4 linked regions of the Drosophila melanogaster genome follow. The protein of the gene in region 3 interacts with the protein of the main gene of each other region in a pairwise test. Each region holds a gene or a part of one and is shown on either strand. Other genes may lie near its edges. The genes, in order: santa-maria, CG30355, CheB42b and Roe1.

Region 1 (9,387 bases), on a different chromosome or scaffold from region 3:
GCTCGGAATCATAGCCATATCCTTTCTGTTCATTCTCTTTGATGACTTTTACATTTTGGAAGCCATTCTGAATCCCAAACGACTGGATGTCTTTGAGGCCGATGAGTTCTTTGCCTTCTTCCTGATGCAGCTCATCTGGTATATAGTGATCATAGTGCTGATCGTGGAGGGCAGCAGTCGGACTATTTTGCATAGCAGCTATACGGCAGCTATAGTTCACAAGATTCTCAATATCACCGATGATCCAGAACTCAGAGATCGACTTTTCCGTCTGTCCTTGCAGCTGTCGCATCGGAAGGTCCTTTTCACAGCCGCAGGACTTTTTCGTCTGGATCGCACACTGATTTTTACGGTGAACTAATGTTGAAAATAATTAAATATTTTATTTATTTAAGTGGTTAATTTTTGCAGATTACTGGTGCTGCCACGTGCTACCTCATTATCCTAATTCAGTTTCGATTCACACATCACATGGACGACACCAGCTCCAATTCAACAAATAATTTACATTCCATTCATCTCGGCGATTGATTAAAATTATATATACACATTAATCAATTAAATTTAAACATAAAGTGTCCTAACGTACAGATGAAAAATAAATTAAAGTTTTCCAGCTCGCAGTAAATTACATTTTTTATCCGTATTTTTTAAGTTATGATATAATATTTAAAGCAAGTAAACATTTCAATTGCACTTAATCAGTACGTTACGTATTCACGTAACGTAAGCCAATCGACAACAACAAGCTGGTTGCTACGTCACTGACTGTGTTGCTGGCTGACATGAGCTGCTTGAATTTCACTAATGAATTCAAATGGATAATGCTGGCCGAGACCCATTTCGAAGCTAAGGGCTGGCTTGACCCACTTCTGCTTGCTCCACTTCACAACATTGCAACATAATCTGCAGCGGTAACTGACTTTTGGCCACAACTGATAGCTAATCCCAGTTAGCACGCCATGTGAAAGGAGGCAAAAGACTAATCCAATAAGGAAGCCAGCCTGAATACGCACTGAAGCAATGACATTTTATTGTTTTATTGCCTCAGACTGCAATCCATGGGTGTTTTCTATGCCATTTGCTGGGGAGTTGTGCCCCTATGATAGCGAAATAAAACAAAAAAACAGTTGAAACTTTGCTCTGATCGCTTGTCGATTTTCGCAGCTTACAAGTGTGTGGGGTTAGTCGTGAATGTTCGCTGTTCACCCAGTGCTAATCATCACGATTAGCCGCATTGATAAGGCTTCGACAATTTGTTATCAATTCGGATTTCTACTTTACGATTTGTTTACTTTTCCACAAGCCACCCGATTCGTATGCGAAAATTCGCAGTTTTATGAAATCTAAGTGCATAGGAATTTCTTTCGCTGATTGTGATTTTTTGAAATGTGACCCAGTTATATTTGCTATTCGACTGAACAATAGAAAATATGTTGACTCTTTCAGTTCATTCATTTCATTTTTATATCATTTGATATTTATTAGATGTAAATATTTAAAAAATATATATATAAGAAACTAAAATATTTGTAAACGTATTTAACAAAGCAAATGGTTCAATTTAGATTATTTCCAAAAATTTATATAAAGATGGTGACACTGTTGTTTCTGACTACTTCTTCCCTTGGATGCATTCTACAGTTTTAAAGTCGTACTCGCGTTTCAGATTGTATATTGTTTAATTCAAAATTCAATGGCACAACTATGAAAAGCCCAAAGCGCAAATTAACCCAAACACCCACTCGCACACACACATACACACCGTTGCTCGGATACTCGGAGCTCTTCTCAAGCCCAATTCCATATACATTTCCATTTCCATGTGCCGCACTTGACTGACATTCATCGGCCGCCGAGACCGCTCCGCTCTGCTCGCGGTCCGTTCGCTGAGAGTCCGCCGCACAGTCGCATCGAAGCCGCCGGGCGAAGCGGTACCATTTTACGGCATTTCCCAGGGACTCGTGTCCACTTTTCCGGCCTCTGTGCAAAGAAATCATCCACGTGCTCAAGCGTTCTGTCCACATCCTTATCGAATTTCAATTTCCTCGCAAGGAAAATCAAAACGTAAAAAAAAAACCGAGGAGCCTGTGATTTGTTTCTATTTAGCAAATAAAAGTCAAGTGAGTGCCTTTAAAAGAAAATAAAGGAAATTTGGAAAGACAAAAGAAAACTCCTTTCGCAATATCACGTAATTTCTTAGCGCTTCCTGCTTTGTTAACACATTACGTTTTGGCTTGATTTGGCTTAATCGCCGGCAGACTTATTAAGATTACAGGTCATTAAATGAAATTAACTCGACAAGAATGAAAAATAGTCGCCAGACAGAAAACCAAATATATATGTATGTACAGTGGCAATCTATATTATACATTCTTTTTGTGTTTATACTGGCTTTGTGTGTCGTCTCCCTTTTGAAGAAATAAGAGTGCCGGAATGCAAAACAAAGGGCTTCCAGCTTGGACTACGAGGCGACCTGTTGATTGTGCGATTAATGGTCTAAAATTAGTCCCAGGGAAAACAGCTGCTCAGGAAAATATTAAGCATGCGCCCCGTTGACGAATTATGTTTTGTAGCTTGTATTTTTACATAAAACGAAATTGGGCGATGATAAATTATAATGAAAAAATAAAAAAATCTAGTATATGTTTTGGAATTTTCTGCAAAAGAACGGCAGCTGATCTTATTTGGTATATAAATAAAAAACAAAACAGTGGTGTACAAAACACATTGCGTATGCGACCTGTTAACCATTTAAAGTTCAAGATAATTAAATATCAACTTGCTCCCAACTAATTGCAGTTGCGTGTGCCTTTATAAGATAATAAATATCTGAAAAACAAATAATGTAAATACTCTAATAGAAAACCAACGAATGTCTTAAAAATTGCAAATTAAAATATTTATTTAAATTTTCTTTATTGTATGCAATAAAGAGCCAAAGAAACTTCACATTCATTTTCCAGCTATTCGCTAATTGAATAATCAATGCCCAGATTGGCGAATCCTCAATAAATACAGCTGTTCGTTGGCAAATTACTCATGGGACCCGTTTAAATATAGTTCAAGATAATCGAAACTAGCCCCTAATAGCATGTTCATTAAAGTTTCGTTTAAGAATTCAACTCATGCTGGACAATTAAAGTCAAATCAATTAATCAATTCACAATGAATTAATTAAAATCTCAAAGGGCTTAAACAACTTTAGTTAATACTGAAATCTTGGCTACGTAAAAGTGGCATTTAAAGAAATTTTTTGATTTAAAGTTCATTAAAAAGAAACAAAATAACTTTCTGCAGTTCAGGGACCTTTAAAAGTACCAAGCCTATTTACGGTTTAGCCTTTCGCTCTTTATTTATAGTTGTTGGCTTTTTTTTAAATCGTCGTGTGTATTTTCGTACTTGAAGGCTGCGAAAACTCAATTACATGCCGATAGCTCGTTATCAAAAAATACTCGCCCAAGCATATGTGAATTTGCGAACTGCGTCAAATCTGTAAGTTGCGGTTTATCTCAATGGCAGCCTTTGTGGTTAAATGGGGTTGAAAAACATCAGGAAAAACTGAGAAGGTGTTGACTTGTCTCACATCCAGTAGACGATCTTAAAGTATCGGGTTTACTGCGTCTGACTTAGTACTTAGAATTTCCGTTTCATATCAAGTGCACTTGCACTCAGGAAGTTAACGCCAAAAAGGCAGATAATTCTTGCTAGAATGTTTCAGAATGCATTCACTTTCGATGTGGCATCACTTCAGAGTTCAGTGTTCTCGGTGCATTTGCATAGAATATGAATAAAGCGTTCGGAGCATTCATAAAAATGTTAATATAGAAGATCAAGAACCAGAGAGTATGACAAGAGCATGCCTAATTTAATAATGAATCAAATATACCGGTCACTAAAATTTAAGCTTAATTAAACGCAATTATTCAGTGTTGCGGCTTCGAGCTTCAAGAGCGAATATCAAAGAACTGCACTGAAAAAAAAACGTATCTTGCTATAAATATTTTCTCACAAAAAGAGATATTCCTGCTAAAATCTCTTAGATTTCCATTCAAAATCTATCCTCGTTATGTGCGGTATTGCTCTTGATCTAATTGAATTAAGCGAAAAATGCGGGATGAACTCTACGTGATGCACCTGTCCAACGTCCATTTCAATTAAAACTCACTTCAGATTAATTGTGAAGACAATAAAAAGGCGCCGACAAATGCTCGACAGCTATTCATCATTCAAAAGACATAATCATATCAATTTACCAGACACCAACCAGAACACAACTGACACGCTCCCAAATAAGCATATATATATGTATATATGTGTATATATATATATAGATTCCTACTCGTATTCATGTGCAATAACGCAAAGTGTCAAAGACCCAACCATAGCTCACTGCGGGGTCAATTGATAGACTCAATTATGACGATATATCACAGAGATGCGAACCTGTGGCATATGTACGTACATATGCAATATTTATGCTCAAGTGATACATAGTGTTTGGTGATGGGAACTCTGGGCAGATTGGTCAAATAATTGCCAGAGGATGGATTCCCGATAAGCGATAAGTGCAGTGCAGTTCAATTTCCTCAATTGTCTGTGGCTTCCTCATGGGTCTGTTTACCTAAGAGTTCAGAATCCGCTTATCGGACCACAGTGAATGCCCCATATAGGAAAATTCGCCTACCGAATGCGATCATAAAATATTTTATCCACATTCATGCATGTTATTCGTAAACGAAATGGATAATTACACGTATTGCTTGCAATGCAGCTTCAAACTATCATAACTAATTAAAACACATCATCGTTGAGTGTCGGGGGAAGCTTTGTAATTATCACCACTGATAGGGGATTCGACTATAGTTCTGTATATATGTACACATATACTTACCGGACTTAGTATATTCTACATGAGTGTAAACAGCAATTGAAAGTCACGCTTTGCTTAAATTGATTCAATTATATTGATAAAAATAGACGCTATGGGAATTCGTCACTCAATAAAATGCTGCGCTTTTTGCATTTTATTTGTATTCAATTCTTTGTTGATTTCTTTGTTCGCCATACTTATATTAATATGTGACTTGATGCATCTGTTAATAAGAGATTTGATTCTACATTTTTTTTATTCTTTAACTAGCACTGCCTGAAAGTAGGCAACATGAACATGAGTTCACAAAATAATATTGTGTAAAGTTATATTTTAAATTATTGTATTATGATTTGTTCATAATGATTTTATAATAGAAAACTTATCAGTACATTCTCAACTTGCACTACATTTATGAGTTCTTTCATTTGATCCATTTTTATATGTTGGCAAATAGACTATCAATTTATCCATTTTCATTGATGTTTCAATGACTTGCATATCATTACAGCCACCATTAGGTATCCACACACCATCGCCCAGCGTGAGCCATGCCAACACAAAACAGCGCAATGTGGGGCCAAAAAAGTAATCGCAAATTAATTATCGGCATTTTCGGCTTTTGCCTGGGACTATTTGGCATATTGTGCGGCATGTTCTGGGTGGACCTGTTCGATTGGATCATGCACAAGGTAATCCCAGTCATTGACAGAGGTTCAGTTAAGTTCATTTCACTTCACTCCAGTGTTAGCCCGGCCAGCTGCATTCGATTAGTGGCTAAAGCCAATTGAAAGTCAAAAGAAAAACAGCCGCCTCTCAATTGGCGCGAGTCAAAGATCGAGGAAAACTCGTTGAGATTTTCAATTAATACCAATTGCGGCTTCTGTTCTTCGACAGGAAATGGCTCTGGCCCCCGACACACGTGTCTATGAAAATTGGAAGAGTCCGCCAATTGATCTCAGTCTGGACATCTACCTGTACAACTGGACGAATCCGGAGGATTTCGGCAACCTTTCCACAAAGCCCATTCTGGAGCAGGTGGGTCCTTATCGTTTTATCGAGCGACCCGATAAGGTGGACATTCACTGGCATCCAGAAAATGCATCCGTCACTTATCGCAGGCGCAGCTTGTTCTACTTTGATGCGGCGGGCAGTAATGGCAGCCTGGACGATGAGATTACCACGCTTAATGCAGTGGCTCTGGTAAGTATCCTATTCCCTTTTATTACATAATATAACTATAACTATACATTTCCATTTCAGTCTGCAGCCGCCACAGCCAAATATTGGCCACCAGTTAAGCGCTCCCTTGTCGATGTGGGACTAAAGATGTACGGTGCCGAGATGTCTGTCCAAAAATCGATCGATGAGCTGCTCTTCACCGGTTACAATGACGCAATGATCGACGTGGCCATGGCCATGCCCATTTTTGGTGATGAGGTGAAGGTTCCATTCGATAAGTTCGGTTGGTTCTATACGCGCAATGGAAGTGCCGATCTTACCGGAGTTTTTAATGTCTTCACTGGCGCCGATCAACTGGCCAAACTGGGTCAGATGCACTCGTGGAATTACCAGGAGAACACTGGATTCTTTGATTCCTATTGCGGTATGACCAATGGATCCGCCGGGGAGTTCCAGCCACAGCATCTGAAGCCCGGCGATAGTGTTGGTCTATTTACGCCCGATATGTGCCGAACTATTCCGCTGGATTATGTGGAAACTGTGGATATTGAAGGACTGGAAGGTTATAAATTCTCAGGCGGACCACGATCTGTAGATAATGGTGAGTCTTGATAAGAATTGATTAATTGTGAGTACCCATTCTATTAGAGATTTATATTTCAGGCACCCAGTATCCTGAGAACCTTTGTTTTTGTGGTGGCCAATGTGTTCCGTCGGGTGTGATGAACATCAGTTCCTGTCGCTTTGGATCTCCTGTTTTTATGTCCTATCCACACTTTTTCAACGCCGATCCTTACTACCCAGATCAGGTAGAGGGCTTGAGTCCTAACCAGAAGGATCACGAGTTTTATATGGTTGTGCAGCCAAGTACTGGTATTCCCCTGGAGGTGGCTGCCCGATTTCAAGTGAATATGCTCGTGGAGCCAATCCAAGGCATTAGCTTATACACTGGAATACCAAGGATATTTTTCCCACTCGTATGGTTCGAACAGAAAGTAAGAATCACTCCAGATATGGCAGATCAACTGAAGGTGCTGCCCATTGTCATGCTCTCCGGACATATATTCGCCGGAATTTGCTTGATCGTAGGCATAACTCTACTCTGCTGGACTCCGGTTCAGATTCTATTGGCTTCCTGTCGAAATCGTAGATACGATCTGAGGACCAAAACCAAAACGAATGGCCAGTATAAGAGTCGCTCTCAATTCTCCAGTGCTGAGGAACTGAAGTCCAAGGCCTCCACTTTGGTGTGCGAAAAGAGTGTCAAAGGATCTCCGGACAGTTCTCCGCTCCTCGAAAAAGGCCGTAAGCCAACCATTATTAAATCCCAGACGGGTGAAAGTGTGGCCACTGCATCCACAGCCATCAGCGACAATAAGCAGGATTGAACAGAACCGCCACATTCACGCCATTTAGATAGTTAAGCCGTCCTAGTGCTTTAGTCGTAGCTCATAGTTTAGTGACACTCTAAAACACCCAACTGAAAATTGCAAGCATTCCCGTGCCTATGCCAAAGATTAGATAGCCTTCGAAGTCGAAACGTCTGGTGGACTTCGCTTAGCTAACGAATACTCTTTTTACATTCCTTAGTTATTAGATATGTTTTGTATTAAAATGATTTCTTGACCCATGGCTTTCGTGTCAAATAAAATCTTCAACTACAAAGGAAATTATCATTTTAGTAGGTTAAGTGGGTAAGATTGCACATAACTATTTTTATTTCATTACAGCTCACAACGTTTGTTTTGAATTTTAACAACATTTTTTTCATCTTTATTAGTTCAATAACAATTATACAAAATATATAGTATATATGGTATCCACTTTAATGCCTAGCTCATGAGCTTGTATCGTGATCATTTTAATTATTGTGAATAATTTTCTTAACCTTACATTTAAAGGGCAAAGAGACTATTACTTAACGTACGACAATATTTGCAATATCACAAATGACCCAACTTAAGTGACTAAAATACGAATCGAAAGGGGGAAGGGAGGATTGTGCGGATTTGGGGGGTTAGTTTTGGACTATTCCTTGTACTATTACTTCTTCATCTTATACCCCTCAGTATACCCATAGCTGTCAGCCACTAAAAAAAAAAAAAGTTAAGTTTATTAGTATATAAAGCCTGATATTGCTGTTTATGAATATCTTACGTTCATAATCCTTGGAATAGCACTCAAAGAATTCGCCCAAAACTTTGCCGTGTGGCAGTTCCCATGTGGCAGAACCACCGTATTTCGGAGGCAAAGCCTTCGCCTCAATATGGGAGATCAGGGACTTGTAGTCCTTGCCATGGAAGAAGATCTACCAAATAGGAATTTATTACATATAACTTAACATTATTTCATGTATTTCTTATTCAAACTTACCCTCTTGCGCAGCTTTTCGCGAATGAATGGCTTGAATACGGCAAAGAGCATATTGAATATATATGAATTATTCACTATGTGAACTGCTTTCAAACGCATGCAGATGCATTCTTGAATGTAATCCAGCAACATGGCGGCAAATGACGGTGTAAATTGTGTAATGTGGCTAAGTGGCAGCCCTGCAAAATGGTTAATATGTATTAAGTAACTTGTATAATTTGTATTTCCTGCCTAGAATTTATTACCTTCCATATCGATAATGACAACTGAGCCGCAAATTTGTGAGTAGGGCTCCACCATAGAACCCAGTACGGTCAATTGAATGCCGCGGAATAGATCCACCAAGGGCACTTGCGATGGCTTCCATTTTTCTGGAGTAATTCAATTATTTATAGACATTTTTTTAGTTGTTTTTAAGAGCCAAACTTACTGCCAGCTTCCAGCACCAAAAGCCGACGGCCGTGTTGATCTCTTTGGGGCAGCAAATTCAGAATATTTGCCTCGAAAACGTTTCTCAACTTGCTGGGGATTATGTTCTCGCAAGCGGCTCCATACTTCAATTTCATGTGATAAAAGTTCTTGAGCTGTACATAATGTAAGAGAAAATAAATAAAAAATATATATATTTAAAGCTTGCATGTTTCAACAAATTACTCACCCTTTTCAAGGCACTTTCTGGATAGTAATGGGTGGGACGCAGGAACATCATCATATACTCATCATCCAATGGCAGGTTCAGGTACTTTTCATCTATTAATTTGGAATTTTTTTTTTAAATTTTATTAACCAACGTGCATGTGCTTTCACCCACTTTGAATGAGTTCCCTGAGTTCCTTGATGGCCTGCTCCTTGACGCCGGGCACTTCCCGCAACTCATCCTGTGCCTTCTTCAGTGCCCATTCCGGCGCTTGTTCCTTCTCCATGCGGATCTGTGCCGAGCCCAGATCGATGTAGGGCAA
Region 2 (4,755 bases), 1.7 Mb from region 3:
TGTTGGTCCAAGAAACATGATCTCCCGAGTTACGGCCCTCACCTCAACAAACCCTCGAAAACTCACATGTCCGTTATCTCTCTGTCGATTCTACTTTGTGGTCCCTCCCCTAATCTAGCGTTTCTTTTTAAATCGCAACCTCTAACACGACGTTAAACTAATCGCCACGAATTCGCTCATTTTCCAGGCAAAGATCGTGCGGAATGATGACAATGAGCTGACCTACCGGACCACGGATCCACCACGGGATGTCCACGTGAAGATGCTGCAAGAGAATATCGATACCCTGGAGAAGGTATTCAACTATGTGGCCAAAACTTACACGTCGAAGCGTTGTCTGGGCACCCGGCAGATCCTCAGCGAGGAGGATGAGGTGCAGCAGAACGGTCGAGTCTTCAAGAAGTACAACCTCGGTGACTACAAGTGGAAGACGTTCACCGAGGCGGAGCGCACGGCGGCTAATTTCGGGCGCGGTCTGCGAGAACTTGGCCAGAAACCACGCGAGAACATTGTCATCTTTGCCGAAACGCGAGCCGAATGGATGATAGCTGCCCACGGATGCTTTAAGCAGGCTATGCCCATTGTCACTGTCTATGCTACGCTGGGCGATGATGGAGTTGCTCATTGTGAGTAAATTGGCTTACCATGTGTATGGTTTTTAAATAATATTTTGCTCTGTTGCCAGGCATCACCGAAACGGAAGTCACCACGGTTATCACCTCCCATGATCTGCTGCCCAAGTTTAAGACGCTGCTCGACAAATGCCCATTGGTGAAGACTATTATCTATATTGAGGATCAGCTGCAAAAGACAGAAACCACTGGCTTCAAGGAGGGCGTCAAGATCTTGCCGTTTAACCAAGTTGTCAAGACAGGACAGGACAGTAAATTTGGTACGTTTTGAAAGGGTCTTAAAAGATGATTTATTTATGTCAATTACACGATAAATTTGCTAAAATGCATCGTGTTTCACACCGAAAATGGTGTGGGCTCGACGTGTTCACCATCGGCGTTATCCTCAGGCGCCCGAGCCGTTGCCATCGATGTGGATGCAACCGGCTTCTGCGCATCATTATCATCCACAACATTGCTCATCCTTTCGAGGTTATCAATGTCATCTCTTTCGGTTGATCTGTTTTCACTATCAGAGCCTTGTGCTAATTCTGCTTCCGGCAAGTGGTTGCAATAGCGCCATCTAATCGAGACAGAATGTGTTGATGGGTCATCCAGTGTTTTAATCTACAACTCTCACCTCATGTCAGTACTGGAAAAACCGACGGGTTGCAACAGAATCGGCTTCGTTTGTTCTACATATTCGTTCACAAGACTGGAACCAGGTCCTATGATCAAATCTTCCTCCTTAGCCTCAAGGGTAACTCCTTCGGTTATCTTTTCCTCGTCTCTTTCTTGCTTAGAGGAATATGTGCGATACGCCCGAAAGATGAGAACGCCGCAGTATACGCCAAATAGTGTAAAAAATACGGAGCAGCTTCTCGGCTTTCCTGATGTTGAGCCTAGTAAAGCATTGCATTGTTGCACACAAGTCAAGGGCGTTAGGGTGATGAATTCCTCTAGGACTTCAGCCATTTCGAATGGTGTCTGAACTAAAAAATCACCCTACACAATTTGGAAAGAGTTCTTTCTGTTTACCGAAAGTATGCGCTTTTAATTCAGCACTGAAATGTTGACAGCATATGTATAGCGTGCTATGCGCAAGGAATTTGTTAAATATTAAACTAGTACTAATTGACTTTATTTTGTATCCCACAGAGCACGTTCCACCCAAGGGAGATGACATTGCCATTATCATGTACACTTCCGGATCCACTGGCACACCTAAGGGTGTCCTCCTCTCGCACAAGAACTGCATTGCGACAATGAAGGGATTTGTTGATATGGTGCCTATCTATCCGGATGATGTACTGATCGGATTCCTGCCCCTGGCTCACGTTTTTGAATTGGTTGCGGAAAGTGTGTGTCTCATGACTGGCGTTCCAATTGGCTACTCGACCCCCTTGACTCTGATCGACACTAGCAGCAAGATCAAACGCGGGTGCAAGGGCGATGCCACCGTCCTGAAGCCCACCTGCATGACTTCGGTGCCGCTGATATTGGATCGCATTTCCAAGGGTATTAACGACAAGGTTAACTCTGGCTCGGCGTTCAAGAAATCACTCTTCAAATTCCTTTACCAGTACAAAGTCAAGTGGGTGCAGAGGGGGTACAAGACGCCGCTGATTGATAAGTAAGAACGGTGTGCTCATAAATATCATGAGTTGCTAACTAAAACTATTATTTTTCTTGCAGACTGGTGTTCAAGAAGGTGGCAAAGCTAATGGGTGGCAAAGTGCGCATTATCATGTCTGGCGGAGCGCCTCTGTCAGCAGATACACATGAGCAGATCAAGACCTGCTTGTGCTTGGAGCTGATTCAGGGCTATGGCCTTACGGAAACTACGTCTGGAGCCACTGTCATGGACTGTAAGTGATCGCAGATCGACCTTTCTTTTGAAAACAAGTAAATAACTTTATACCCAATACAAGACCGTGATATGACCTATGGACGCACTGGAGGACCATTAACTGTCTGCGACATCCGTCTAGTCAACTGGGAAGAAGGCAACTACCGCGTCACAAATAAACCTTATCCCCAGGGTGAGGTTCTCATTGGTGGCGAGTGTGTCTCCCAGGGATACTACAAGTTGCCCGGCAAGACCAACGAGGATTTCTTTGAGGAGGATGGACAGAGATGGTTTAAAACCGGCGACATTGGCGAAATACAAGCTGATGGCGTACTTAAGATTATTGGTAAGTTATTTAGCACAGTGCTTTTTCTTTCATTTTTTTTATTATAATACGCTTTTTGCAGATCGTAAGAAGGATCTGGTTAAGCTGCAGGCCGGCGAGTATGTTTCCCTTGGCAAAGTTGAATCTGAGCTTAAGACTTGCGGAATCATCGAGAACATTTGCGTATACGGAGATCCGACAAAGCAGTACACAGTGGCGCTGGTCGTTCCCAACCAAAACCATTTGGAGGAGCTGGCACAGAAACATGGCCTGGGTGATAAGTCCTTTGAGGAGCTGTGCTCATCACCGATCATAGAGAAGGCTATTCTCAAGGAAATTGCTGAGCATGCGCGGAAATGTAAGCTACGATGCAGATTTGAGTATTTTTCAAAGTTTTTAATGGCAAATTGTTTAATCTTAAAGGTAAATTGCAAAAATATGAGGTTCCCGCCGCCATCACACTTTGTAAGGAGGTCTGGTCTCCGGACATGGGGCTGGTAACCGCCGCCTTCAAGCTGAAGCGCAAGGATATCCAGGACAGATATCAGCATGATATTAACCGCATGTACGCCTCATGAAAGTCAATGTACTAAGCCAGAGGTACCAGATGCAGCAACGACAACAACACGCAAACATTAAAGCAGCAGCAATGAAGCTAGTGTGTACTAATTGTTTTTAGTAGCACCCCACACAGCATAAGCATGCATACGAAATCCAAAACCAAACTAGCTTAAGTCCTAAAAGATCTAAATGCCGAGCAGTACATGCAGGAACCGATTAGCCACATTGCGCATGTAAAGACAGACAGAATGTTCTCATTTGCCTTTTTCGTTTCGTTTTATCTTATTTGCTAGAAATCGAAAATTACTCGTTTCTCATTTTAATAAAGTTCGCAAAGACTTGCTTGGCAGATATGTAGCTGAAGCTGAGTTTGGTTTGGAAATGCGCTGTGTATGTGCTAGGAATGCTGTTCAACCGATTGACAATGATAATGGTAATGATAACTGAATGCCGATGATGAGAAGGAATATTGTATACTGTACAGTTTTCGGTTTATAGTACATTGTGTGGCAAATTTATATTGCAGAAAAATACTTATTTTTATATTAAGCTTAAGTGGTTGCCTATTAATTATGTACATACGATATACACATTCATATAAAAGCATATATGTGTAAAATAAATCTAATATTTAGTGTACTTCTCTATGCTAAGTTAAATGTATGGAATTCTTGAAGTAATGAAATGTAGACAGCAGCAATGAAAGCGACTTGATTATGAATTAAAAGCCACAATTGAAAGTAAAGAACCTAAGAATTTCCCTTGCAAATGCTTCTTTTTGGCGCAGAGTAAAATACATCTAAACACAAATGGAACCATCCAAAAATTACTTTTAATTACACAAAGGCATAAAGGTTACAAAGGCAATTGTAATATATATTTTAGCTCAATTTAGTTAAAAAAAGGACATCAAATGAATTTTATGAAATATATTATGTAAAACACGTAAAGAGAAAAGTCAAAATTAATATGCAACAAATGAAAGACTTAGTACCAAAATATAATAAAAACACTGAAATCACTAGAAGGCCAACAAAACGCCTATATCTCAAAACTAAAATGTAATAACATTTGTTTTAGATGTGCAAGAACTTTTTGAATAAATTGTAGTCATATTTTTAGTTAAACTATGTATATTTAGGAAACGTTTAGCAATTTTTTGTGGAAACGTTACGTTTCTTTTCAATAAAATTCAAATGATACAAAGATGCAATTTCGACTTCTTTAAAAATCACGAGGGACGGCGTGTGGAACTCGTATCTCCGATTTTGTCGCCCTGATCAAATAGATCATTGTTATAATAACGAAACGAGTTACGAGTAATAAAGATATAAGACAATTATTACACATAAGTATCAATGCATTATAATATTTTTGATCGTATGAAATACTGGATAAATGAATAAACG
Region 3 (4,497 bases):
CAGCCCCATTCATGCTGCAATTTTGTTGCTATTTCGGTGCTGCTCCTCGATAAGGCCCCAAAGATTCCCAGCAGCGGCTAGGTGGATAGAGGCGGAGATGGCCAAAAAAAACGGGTTCAGAGCCATGCCGTCGCCACGTCCTACATTGCCAGCTTTTTGGGTTGGCGAACAAAGCCACTGCCTCCAGAAAGAGCCGTTTCTTATGCTAAATCCAAGAGCCTGCCTGCGAAGCAGAAGTCCGCACTGATTGATTTTCTATGAGGTCCGACGTACCATATACTATATAGTATAGTGAGTGCCCGCGGCCATAATTTCGGCTTTGGCCAGATGTTGACTTTACCGGATTGCCCGGAGCGGCCTGCACAATCGTGCGCTGCTAATTTGCACCTAAAGACGGTCTTTGTTTCTGGCTCTTCGGTTTAGAAAGTAGAAAATTATTCGCCGGGAATATGAAATGAAAGTGTTCCGAGGCTTACCTCCCTGCCGTTTAAAAGTTTTCGCAAATCTGTAAGAAACATTTTCCGTGAATTGGCAAGAGCTTTGCAAATTGACAAATCGATTGCTGCGATTTGAATCGATCGGAACTTATGCCAATCATCATCGGGTAATCCAATAACCGACAATTGTATTTGCATATTCCCCATCCAGCAACGGCAGTCATGACCCCAAAAAAATGCAGTCAGTATACGGTTCTCCTTTGTCTGCACGTCGTTACCCGAGAAGGTACTTGCCACACGCAGCTAGCCGATATGGAAACCGCAACTTGAACTCAAGTTGCCGTCAACGCGTGCCACCAACCACAAAACAAAACGAATCAAGAAGTTAACTGATTGGGGATATGGAAGGTAAAACAAGCCCCTAAAGTTATGAGATCTGTTAAAACACGATGCAATGTTTAAATTGTTATTGAATGTAGGAATTAAGAACACTATGTTTAATATTATACAATATTGAAAAAAAAAATACACATTCAACAAAATAGTCTATTGTTCCAACTACTGCAACTTTAGTGGTTCTCCTATGATCTCCAAACAAATTGGGTTTGGGCGCGGTATATTCCTCTCATCTAGTGCGTTAAACAATATGACAAGTTTATGACGTCCTCTAAGAAGAGGTCCACGAAAATTCTCAAATTTTAGTATGAGATCGAAGGGCTCGTGTACCAGAACGGTCTGTAAGAAATCAGAATATTTTCAAAATATTGTGCAATAAAAAATGGTAGTGTCCTTTGCACACAACCATATGAATAATCTGCATCCCATATGAGAACTATTCCCATATGCTATTATATTCCACCGTATTTGGTTGTCAAATTGCTTGAACTCCACTTACATCAGGCCCTCTGAAGCACTTCTTTTCCACCTCATGGCGATTGGTTATAAACCTTGTCCAATACTTATACCAATACTGGTTCTTGTCGTACATGATGGAGCAAAAGTTCTGGGTGGCCATGCTAAAGACAGTGGGCTCCCAAGTGCCGCGGTTGAAGTGAAAAACATCAAGTCTCGCCTACACGGATGCAAGAGTTTTGATATTAGAATCGATGATTATTCCGAAGCTTGCAGTTTGTGTTACAGTAATCCGATCGGTGGGCTGCACATCCCACACGACGGTGGCGTTCCCGGATACATGAAGTATATCCCCTTTCTGGTCGATTACAATGTCGTCTAAGTTGAGTGCCTGGCGGATGTTGATGGATCCGGGAGGACCATCAGTGCACGTCGAAAATATGTCCGGATCCTCGAGCAATAATTCATAGTCTGTGGCCCAGGAACTGGTCACTCCTAATAAGAGTAGCAGCACAAATATCATGATGACCATAGAACCGAAAACTGTGAGATCCGACCCCTTTATAGCCACTGCCACAATAGAGTTTTTGATATGTTTTATTTATACACCTTTTAAAATGATGACATCTAATCATGGTATGCCATCGTACATTGATTCAACACGCAACAATGTAACAACCATCTCCTGTTAATCAGACGTTGTCAAACTCTAACAATATAATTGGCAAATCACGTTATGTGACCCTTGAAAATATTCGTGCTTAAACATTGTAAAACAAGATGTTTTAATAATAATAACTTTTGGGCTAGAAAAAAAAACAAGTTTGAAACAAAAAACAAATTCCCCAAAGATTTTCTTGGCGATCACATATCCGTGTGGGCGTGACAGTTTTGGGCGGTTTTTGGTCGTTAGAGGGTGTGGTAGAGTAGGCGTGGCAATCTTCTGAAAGTACTTCTCTATAATCTGCATCCCTTATCTTATCAATATAGCTTTTATAGCTCCCGAGATCACATACGGGCATAAGGTTGATCAAACGAAAAAAAAGGTTCGCGTCACCTGTTACACACTTTGTACCAAATCAAGTACATATATCAAGTTCAGAATAGTTGATATATTTTATTTATATTTATATTTTTAAGATTGCTTTTTATTTTCAAAATATGTAGATATTGGGTTTATATTGTTTTTTAGGTTACTGATATCGCGCCTTGAACAGATTAAGCCCTTAATTAATTTATCTTCTCGGCCTCTCCCCTGATTTCGAAGCAAATGGAATTACGGCGTGGCACATCCTTCTCATCGACCGCCTCAAAGGTGACCACAGCTTTGTAACGACCCCTGAGAGTTGCACCACGAATGTCCGTTAGACGCAGCTGCAGATCGAATGGATTGTGCATTATAACGGTCTGTAATGGAATCCCAAGGTTAAAGTCACCGCGCCAGAGATGGACTGTTTTGTTTGCAGGGAAAACTCACACCACGCGTTTTAAAACACTTCTCCATCACCTCATCGCGGTTCGAAATGTGTTTGGTCCAGTACTTAAACCACGACTGATTCTCATCAAACATTGAGGCGCAGAAGTCCGGCGTGGCCATGCTAAATACAGTCGGTTCCCAGCTGCCGCGGTTGTAATGCATTATTGCAAACCTGGCCTTAAAAGCAATTGTTTATTAATAATCTTATTTCGTATAAGGAATGCGGGCATTACGGATATGCGATCTGTGGGCTCCACATCCCAGATTGAGGTGACACTCTCGGACAGGTGAATGATGTCCATGTCCTGGTCGACTACCAGATCGCCAATATCGAAGGCATCGTGGAATCCAATCGATCCCGGCGGCGGTTCAGTGCAGGGTGAAAAGATATCAGGGTCCTCCAGCAACAGCTCGTAGTCTGCGGCCCAGGAACTAGCAAAGCCAAATACGAACAGCATGAGAGTTCTCATGATGACAATAGTATCACCTGGTGGGATGAGACCCTTTTATAGTACTTGCCATCATGATCTCTTCTATCATTGCTATCATGTCATCATGTATCCACTCGACATGCAACAAAGTTACAACCATTTTGTTTGCCAGACATTATTTTAAATCGACATTTAAAGCAAGAAGCTCACTTCAACCATAACAAGTTTCGAGGAAATCAGTGCCAATGAAAATAGTCCTTATTAAACGATCAAAACAATCATTCCTGTTAATCTTATATTTATTAAGATATATAAGCTAAATACTAAAGGTTTTAGCCATTAGCATAACAACTTGTATGCCAAATAGGCATTTAGATTGTTATACTTGTAAAAGTATAACCTTTTGTTCTTCTTGAATTCAATGCTAAAATCTTTGTAGGCTCCTTGATTAAATTAAATTTTTACTTTTTTCATCGAAAATTAAACGATTTCATAAATTCCGTAACTATTTTGCATAATTGGGTGCGACAACTACACACCTACAACAAGTCAAATGGACACTTTCCGCAATTTAATCACAGCTTGTGAATCACAAGTGCAATTTCATATTCATTTTAATTAACTAGCCTTGGATTGCTGTTGAAGCTGACATCATACATGCAGAGCACTCGGCACAGTTCAAAACACCAAGTAAGCTATGCACATCAGTCGTTCCACATTAACAGAGGGAACAGCATCTAGAATTGTTCCCGCAAAGTTATTTATGGAATAATGCAAAGTAATTAATACAACTAAGATGATTCTCATGCTCTCCAATTGTTTGTGGAGTCTGAAGGGGAAATGCATTCCGCATTCTTGTCTGATCTCAGATTTCACTGTCTCCATGTGGGAGGAAGCAGGCATATGGAACGGGTTGCAATGGTGACCTGCGTCAAGATCTAAACAAAAAATGATTTGTATATTTTATCCATTTTTTCCGAACATAGCAGCTAGACATAACAATTGTACACATTAACACAATTGTTTTCAAAGCTTAAGGACCTTGCTCCACATATGAACTGAATGATGGCATCCTGTCCACATCCTGTTCGGTGCCACAGTGAACTGCCACTTCCAGTTGAGATTCAGCCTTGAAATGGCTTTCAGACTTTTCAAACGCGCCAACGCTAGAGGGACAGGGGGAAGCTCACGGGGCATTGTTATAGAAATGGAAACAGCTGCGAGTGCTGCCATAAATAAAAACTTATTAGGTCTTGTCGATGGTATTTCACTATATAGTAACTCGTCTATAAATAAACAA
Region 4 (5,153 bases), 6.6 Mb from region 3:
TAGTAATATATTAAAAACAAACAAACAAAACATACACTGAATGCTAGTCGCGTGCCAGGTCAATGGAATTATCGCTTAAAGCACCTATTCGTACGGCCACCACTGTGTTGTTGCATGTGAGATGGGAATCCGATAAGAGTTGTGTATAAGACCGCATGATTACAAATTCGGGCAGGTGATTGGGACCTTACCACCACCAGCTGCTGGTCATGTGGTTGCCGCCCAGTCCCGGAGCCGAGGTGGATGCAGTTGCTCCATCCACCGTTCCAGGGGCATGCAACAGATGACTTCCATCGGCAGCGGCGTCCTTTTCGGTGCAGAAATATTCCTCTTGGTCGGAGGAGTTTAGGTCCTCTGGTGCTGGCATTCCACTTGTATGCCTGCAGATGCTTGGAGAGATCAGGGACACATCTGTGCCCTATCTGGAGGAATGCCGTGCTATATATGCCGTTTAAATGCAGTACACCGCACTGATTGTTAACGAATTCTTTCGATGCAAAAAAAAAACTGGTCAAAGTTTTGGCTAGGGCTGTCAATAAGTCGATTAAATAATCGATAGCATCGATTTCTTGGCCCATCGCGAAAGTAAGCGCGAAATTTAAAAACCCAACGGATGTCTTCACCTTCGTCATTCAGAAGAGCATTCGTCATTCATAATTAATGTCGACAAAGGAGTGTACTTGGCATTGCAAATTAGTCAGGCACGTGAAAACACCATTTTTATTTTTAGCCTAATTTGTACGTGTTTTTGAGTGCTTTTAACCTCTCAAACAAACATTTTTGTTGTTTATTTTTAGAACCGCTTATAAACAATATACAACTATATGGCGGAGAAATGGCATTGTGTGAAAAACTTTAATTAGATCTAAGAATATCATTTAATATATTGTTTTTTAATGTGTTTTTATTGCACAGATAGCTATTAATAGCACTTGGAATCTTTCTTTAATAGGAAATCTACTATAGACACTGTTGAAACTAGCTTTAGCTGTAGTTTTTGTATAAAACCTAGTCTAAACTACATGTTTACTATGTTTACCTCTTTATTTCCCTTCCTGTGAAGCTTTCTTAGTCCACCCACCTGAATTGTTTACGCCTCTCACTCAAATCCAGGACTCTTCTCAATGGCTTGGGTGAGTTGCCCGGCGACGTGGCTGCCGCTCCATCATTTTCCTCCTCCAGAGAACTGGACACCGAGGTACTTGCCACCATTTGGAGGGCCAATTGGAGATCCTCCTCACGCATTTTTTGTTGTTTTTTTTTATTGGAAAAGTATGAAAAAAAAACCGAGTTTTGAGACGACAACCTCGTTGTTCCGGTGGCGAGATCCAACTAAGTGACTTCTCGTGCTTCGTTTTCCAAAATATATACAATGCATGCGCATATGTAATACTTGGCAGTGCGATCGGAGAGGTAAGTTGTTGAATAGATGCTATGCCCGCCTCGTACACTCGTACTTTGAATTCATTAAGAGCCTTCCGATATTTACATTTCCAGAGCAACTTTTTTCGAGCGGTCCATATTTTGGCGGCCCCGGGGCGTGGCCGATCTGGTATGAGATCGATTTATAAGCTATGCGTGGATTAATAGCCGGTGGCGCACTCTTAATAATATATGTCCGAAGGTAGCGCCAAGAATATAGGCCCATTTTTGCATTAACACCGATCGATTTTAAGTGGACCTGCGCCTGCCAATATTGTCGATACACATTTTCACATTTTTATATGCCATTTGCATATTCCGTTTGTCCATTTTATATAAGAAATATTTTGTCGCTTTAAATTTGTATTTATGACCAAGGTGAATTCTCAGGGGTGTCAGGAACTACTGATCAAGTAGGGATTTCTTTATTAATAATAATTGTTTGTTTATTGCATTTTTGGGTTTAAGTGTGTAAAGTGGTAAAATTTCATACATTTTTGATTTCATTTTGGTAATATTGATGCTATTTAAATATTTATTTATTACTTGCACCGATTTCCTTCTTAATTTATTTTTAAGTATTTTAGTTATATAAAGAGATTTTCTTTGGATTTAATGTAAATAATTTTTTACATGAATGAATCCGAGCTTACATCTATTCTACATCCGACTTGACTGTTGCATTCTACAGCTGCGCTGCGGTCACACTAAGCGGCAACACCGGGTGGAATCGATAAACAATTACTATCGAACACACATCGATTGTTGAGAGAGCTGTGAAGCCGACGATTTTACGTCAAAAGCGGAATAAGTTTATTTAACGTACGAAAAAGCTAAGCATAATGTCAGCAAAGGCAGCCTTACCACTGCAGATGTTTGGCCGGCGACTCGTCCACCTGAGGTCATCGGTCACTTCTCAAAATATGAGGTAATTCCGGTTGCATTGCTTCCTCTTATCTGTGACGTAATGAGGGCGCACGTTTGTCGTTTCGCATGTAATTCTAACATTGCCTCCCGTCTCACTCCCAATCGTCTACCACACAACCAGTGCCCTGCGTTTGTACAGCACAGAGAAACAGCCGGAAGAAGCGACAGAGCAGAAGGCCACCGAATCGTCGCCAGAAGTTGAGAAACTCACCAAGGAACTGGCCGCCGCCAAGGAGCAGAATGCCGAGCTAATGGACAAATACAAGCGTTCGCTAGCCGACAGCGAAAACATGAGGAACCGACTGAACAAACAGATCAGCGACGCCAAGATCTTTGGCATCCAGAGCTTCTGCAAGGATCTGCTCGAGGTGGCGGACACACTGGGACATGCCACACAGGCGGTGCCCAAGGATAAGGTACAAACTATCTTATCTTAAGATTTAAGGTTTAAGGTATCTTAAGGATTCAGACTCGCAATGAAGTTGCATATGTTGAGATAAGAATTTCGTAATTATTTGTTGCCAATACTTGAAAATCTTCATAGCATTTTAAGGTGTATTTTCCCGATCTTTCCATTTCTATCTGAGAGATAACAAACCCGATTGCATTACATACATCTAATTGTACATATAGATTTGTTGGGGTATTTTAAATTGAGATATTTGGATAACTTGTTAGCCATTTTAGACTTAATAGATAGTTTAATCGTTTTGCATTAACATTCTTAAAGCTACCCTTACTAATGATCTTAATTATTGCAGCTCAGCGGCAATGCTGATTTGAAGAACCTGTACGAGGGCCTCACCATGACGCGCGCCTCGCTGCTGCAGGTGTTCAAGCGACACGGACTGGAGCCACTGGATCCCATCAACCAGAAGTTCGACCCCAATCAGCACGAGGCGCTGTTCCAGAAGGAGGACAAGACCGTCGAGCCCAACACCGTGGTGGAGGTGACCAAGCTGGGCTACAAACTGCACGAGCGTTGCATACGTCCGGCCTTGGTGGGCGTGTCGAAGTGTTGATAGCCATGCGGCTGCCCAGAGGCATGTAAAATTCCCAGTACTCCCCCCCCCCCCCTAAACCAATTTACATGGCGTGTGTCTCTCAATTGTTTGCAATTTGTTTTCCGCTGCAAAATTCATGTACGTAAACCCTGTGTAAATACAACCTATCCCACAAACGCATCCTTCGGGCAAAGCTTGCGAATTTAGAATTCCTCCTAGTTTCTAAGAGATCTGTGACTGGATTTGATGGCCACAATTTGTACCATACGCGTGGCCATCGAGTGTTCCACTTTAAGGTTTAATTACGATAATAAAACATGTTTTAGTTTGTTGAAATATACCACGGAAATTTGTATTTCATCCTCATCTGGAGGAGACTCTGTTTATCTAGGTCTCTTTTTAGTTTCCTTTGATTTTCCCCGTTTTCCTTAGCCCTTGAAATTCGAATCCCTCATGAAAAACCATTTCTTTTGTTAACAAAAACCAGGTAGCGAAGCGTAATCGCATTCCTGCTCGTCGCGTAGGTGGAAAATTCAATGGAAATGCGTGATTTTCTATGACCCAGCAGGTAGGCTTCCAAGCACGTTCCCATGAATTCAGAGGTAGCACAGATGGTGGGTTCCCTAAAACGAGATTTGCGCCAGAGTTGAAAGTCTACTTCAAACGGTTTTGAACTATCTCGTTGGTTAGTTGTCCTTAAACATTTGAAGTGAACGGTATGATTGGTGTGCTAATGCGTTTTCTCTGGTCCTTGGCCATGGTGCAGTGCATCCAGGCTAGAGTGTCGATGCTGCCTCGTTTTTATGGACAAGACAGCGCTGTTATAGTGGACATCAATAGAAAATTCCCACCTAGAATGGACTCCAAGCTGCAGAATGCCCTGTACTACAACCTGCCGGTCTACAAACTGATAAAGCCAACCACAACAACTACGACAACCACGACGGCTGCTCCAACCTCTGGCTATCCTGCTGATCTCCTGAACATTGCTCACAACAAGCTGGGCCTCAAAGATCTGCCCAATCTCGAGGAGCTGGGCGAGATGATTGGTACGGATGGTGCCAGCGAGACCATAGACTATATACGCACGCTAACTGGAACGGAGGAGGGTTTGGCCCTGATGAAACAGTATCTGGATGCCCTGCACTTCGAGGAGGCGGAGGAGGAGAATGTGGCCGAGGAACAAGAGAAGGCTGAAGACGACGACGACGATGATGATGACAACACCATGGGCAATGCCAGCTACGATGAGATGCCGCAGGAAAAATCCACCACCACTGCAGATCCCCGTCCTGAGCTGAGTTTAATGCAGCGTTTCGGTGACTTTGTGAAGCAGTACAACCTGTGGTCTGGTCAGGTCACCACTACCACCACTCCTGCTCCGTTCATCGCTCGGCCAAGTGGCTCTTTCCAGCCCGTCTTTGTGGCTCCTCCTCCTGCTGGCTTGAAACCTTTTCGTCCCATCCTGGTTAGGCAGCCACTGCCGTATCACTATCCCATTCCCCTGCGTCCCGTATCGCTGGCCACCACAAAGCCAATCCAGGTGACCACCACCACCACGACCACAACCACACCTGCCCCCGTGACCAAGCCACATCTCAACACGCCCAAGCTGATCATGCAAGAGGATGCGGAGGGCAAATACTCAACATTGCCTCCGTACATCCAGCAGTTGGCCAAAATGGCCAATATTTCGCCGCAAGTCGTGGAAATCTTTCTGGAGCGGCAGCCCAAGTTGGCGGAACTGGCCAAGCGCCTGAGCACCCTGGCACTCAGTCCCGAACAGACCCAGGCCATGGA

The links.
Region 1: the proteins of CheB42b (region 3) and santa-maria interact in a two-hybrid assay, tested with the Drosophila melanogaster proteins (one large-scale study listed by BioGRID).
Region 2: the proteins of CheB42b (region 3) and CG30355 interact in a two-hybrid assay, tested with the Drosophila melanogaster proteins (one large-scale study listed by BioGRID).
Region 4: the proteins of CheB42b (region 3) and Roe1 interact in a two-hybrid assay, tested with the Drosophila melanogaster proteins (one large-scale study listed by BioGRID).

Annotation. Positions count from the first base shown.
Region 1 is NT_033779.5:7,443,685-7,453,071, reverse strand, and holds santa-maria (scavenger receptor acting in neural tissue and majority of rhodopsin is absent), read left to right. Parts: upstream 1-1,827; 5' UTR 1,828-2,123; exon of another isoform or gene 2,124-5,384; 5' UTR 5,385-5,424; coding exon 5,425-5,565; intron 5,566-5,770; coding exon 5,771-6,076; intron 6,077-6,136; coding exon 6,137-6,656; intron 6,657-6,718; coding exon 6,719-7,443; 3' UTR 7,444-7,717; downstream 7,718-9,387. Other genes in the region: Gr28a (gustatory receptor 28a), read left to right, coding at 1-352, 412-531; CG5973 (uncharacterized protein), read right to left, coding at 8,099-8,145, 8,213-8,363, 8,429-8,607, 8,674-8,799, 8,859-9,012, 9,087-9,178, 9,240-9,387.
Region 2 is NT_033778.4:8,678,243-8,682,997, forward strand, and holds CG30355 (uncharacterized protein), read right to left. Parts: upstream 1,712-4,755; 5' UTR 1,587-1,711; coding exon 1,252-1,586; intron 1,195-1,251; coding exon 969-1,194; 3' UTR 904-968; downstream 1-903. Other genes in the region: Acsl (Acyl-CoA synthetase long-chain), read left to right, coding at 188-626, 686-892, 1,770-2,244, 2,307-2,479, 2,543-2,806, 2,868-3,143, 3,209-3,363.
Region 3 is NT_033778.4:6,942,175-6,946,671, forward strand, and holds CheB42b (chemosensory protein B 42b), read right to left. Parts: upstream 1,822-4,497; 5' UTR 1,813-1,821; coding exon 1,576-1,812; intron 1,510-1,575; coding exon 1,333-1,509; intron 1,173-1,332; coding exon 996-1,172; 3' UTR 922-995; downstream 1-921. Other genes in the region: CheB42c (chemosensory protein B 42c), read right to left, coding at 2,520-2,696, 2,767-2,943, 3,000-3,236.
Region 4 is NT_033778.4:13,551,917-13,557,069, forward strand, and holds Roe1 (Roe1), read left to right. Parts: upstream 1-2,160; 5' UTR 2,161-2,264; coding exon 2,265-2,350; intron 2,351-2,470; coding exon 2,471-2,765; intron 2,766-3,110; coding exon 3,111-3,371; 3' UTR 3,372-3,690; downstream 3,691-5,153. Other genes in the region: link, read left to right, coding at 4,072-5,153. UniProt on the Drosophila melanogaster protein: Essential component of the PAM complex, a complex required for the translocation of transit peptide-containing proteins from the inner membrane into the mitochondrial matrix in an ATP-dependent manner.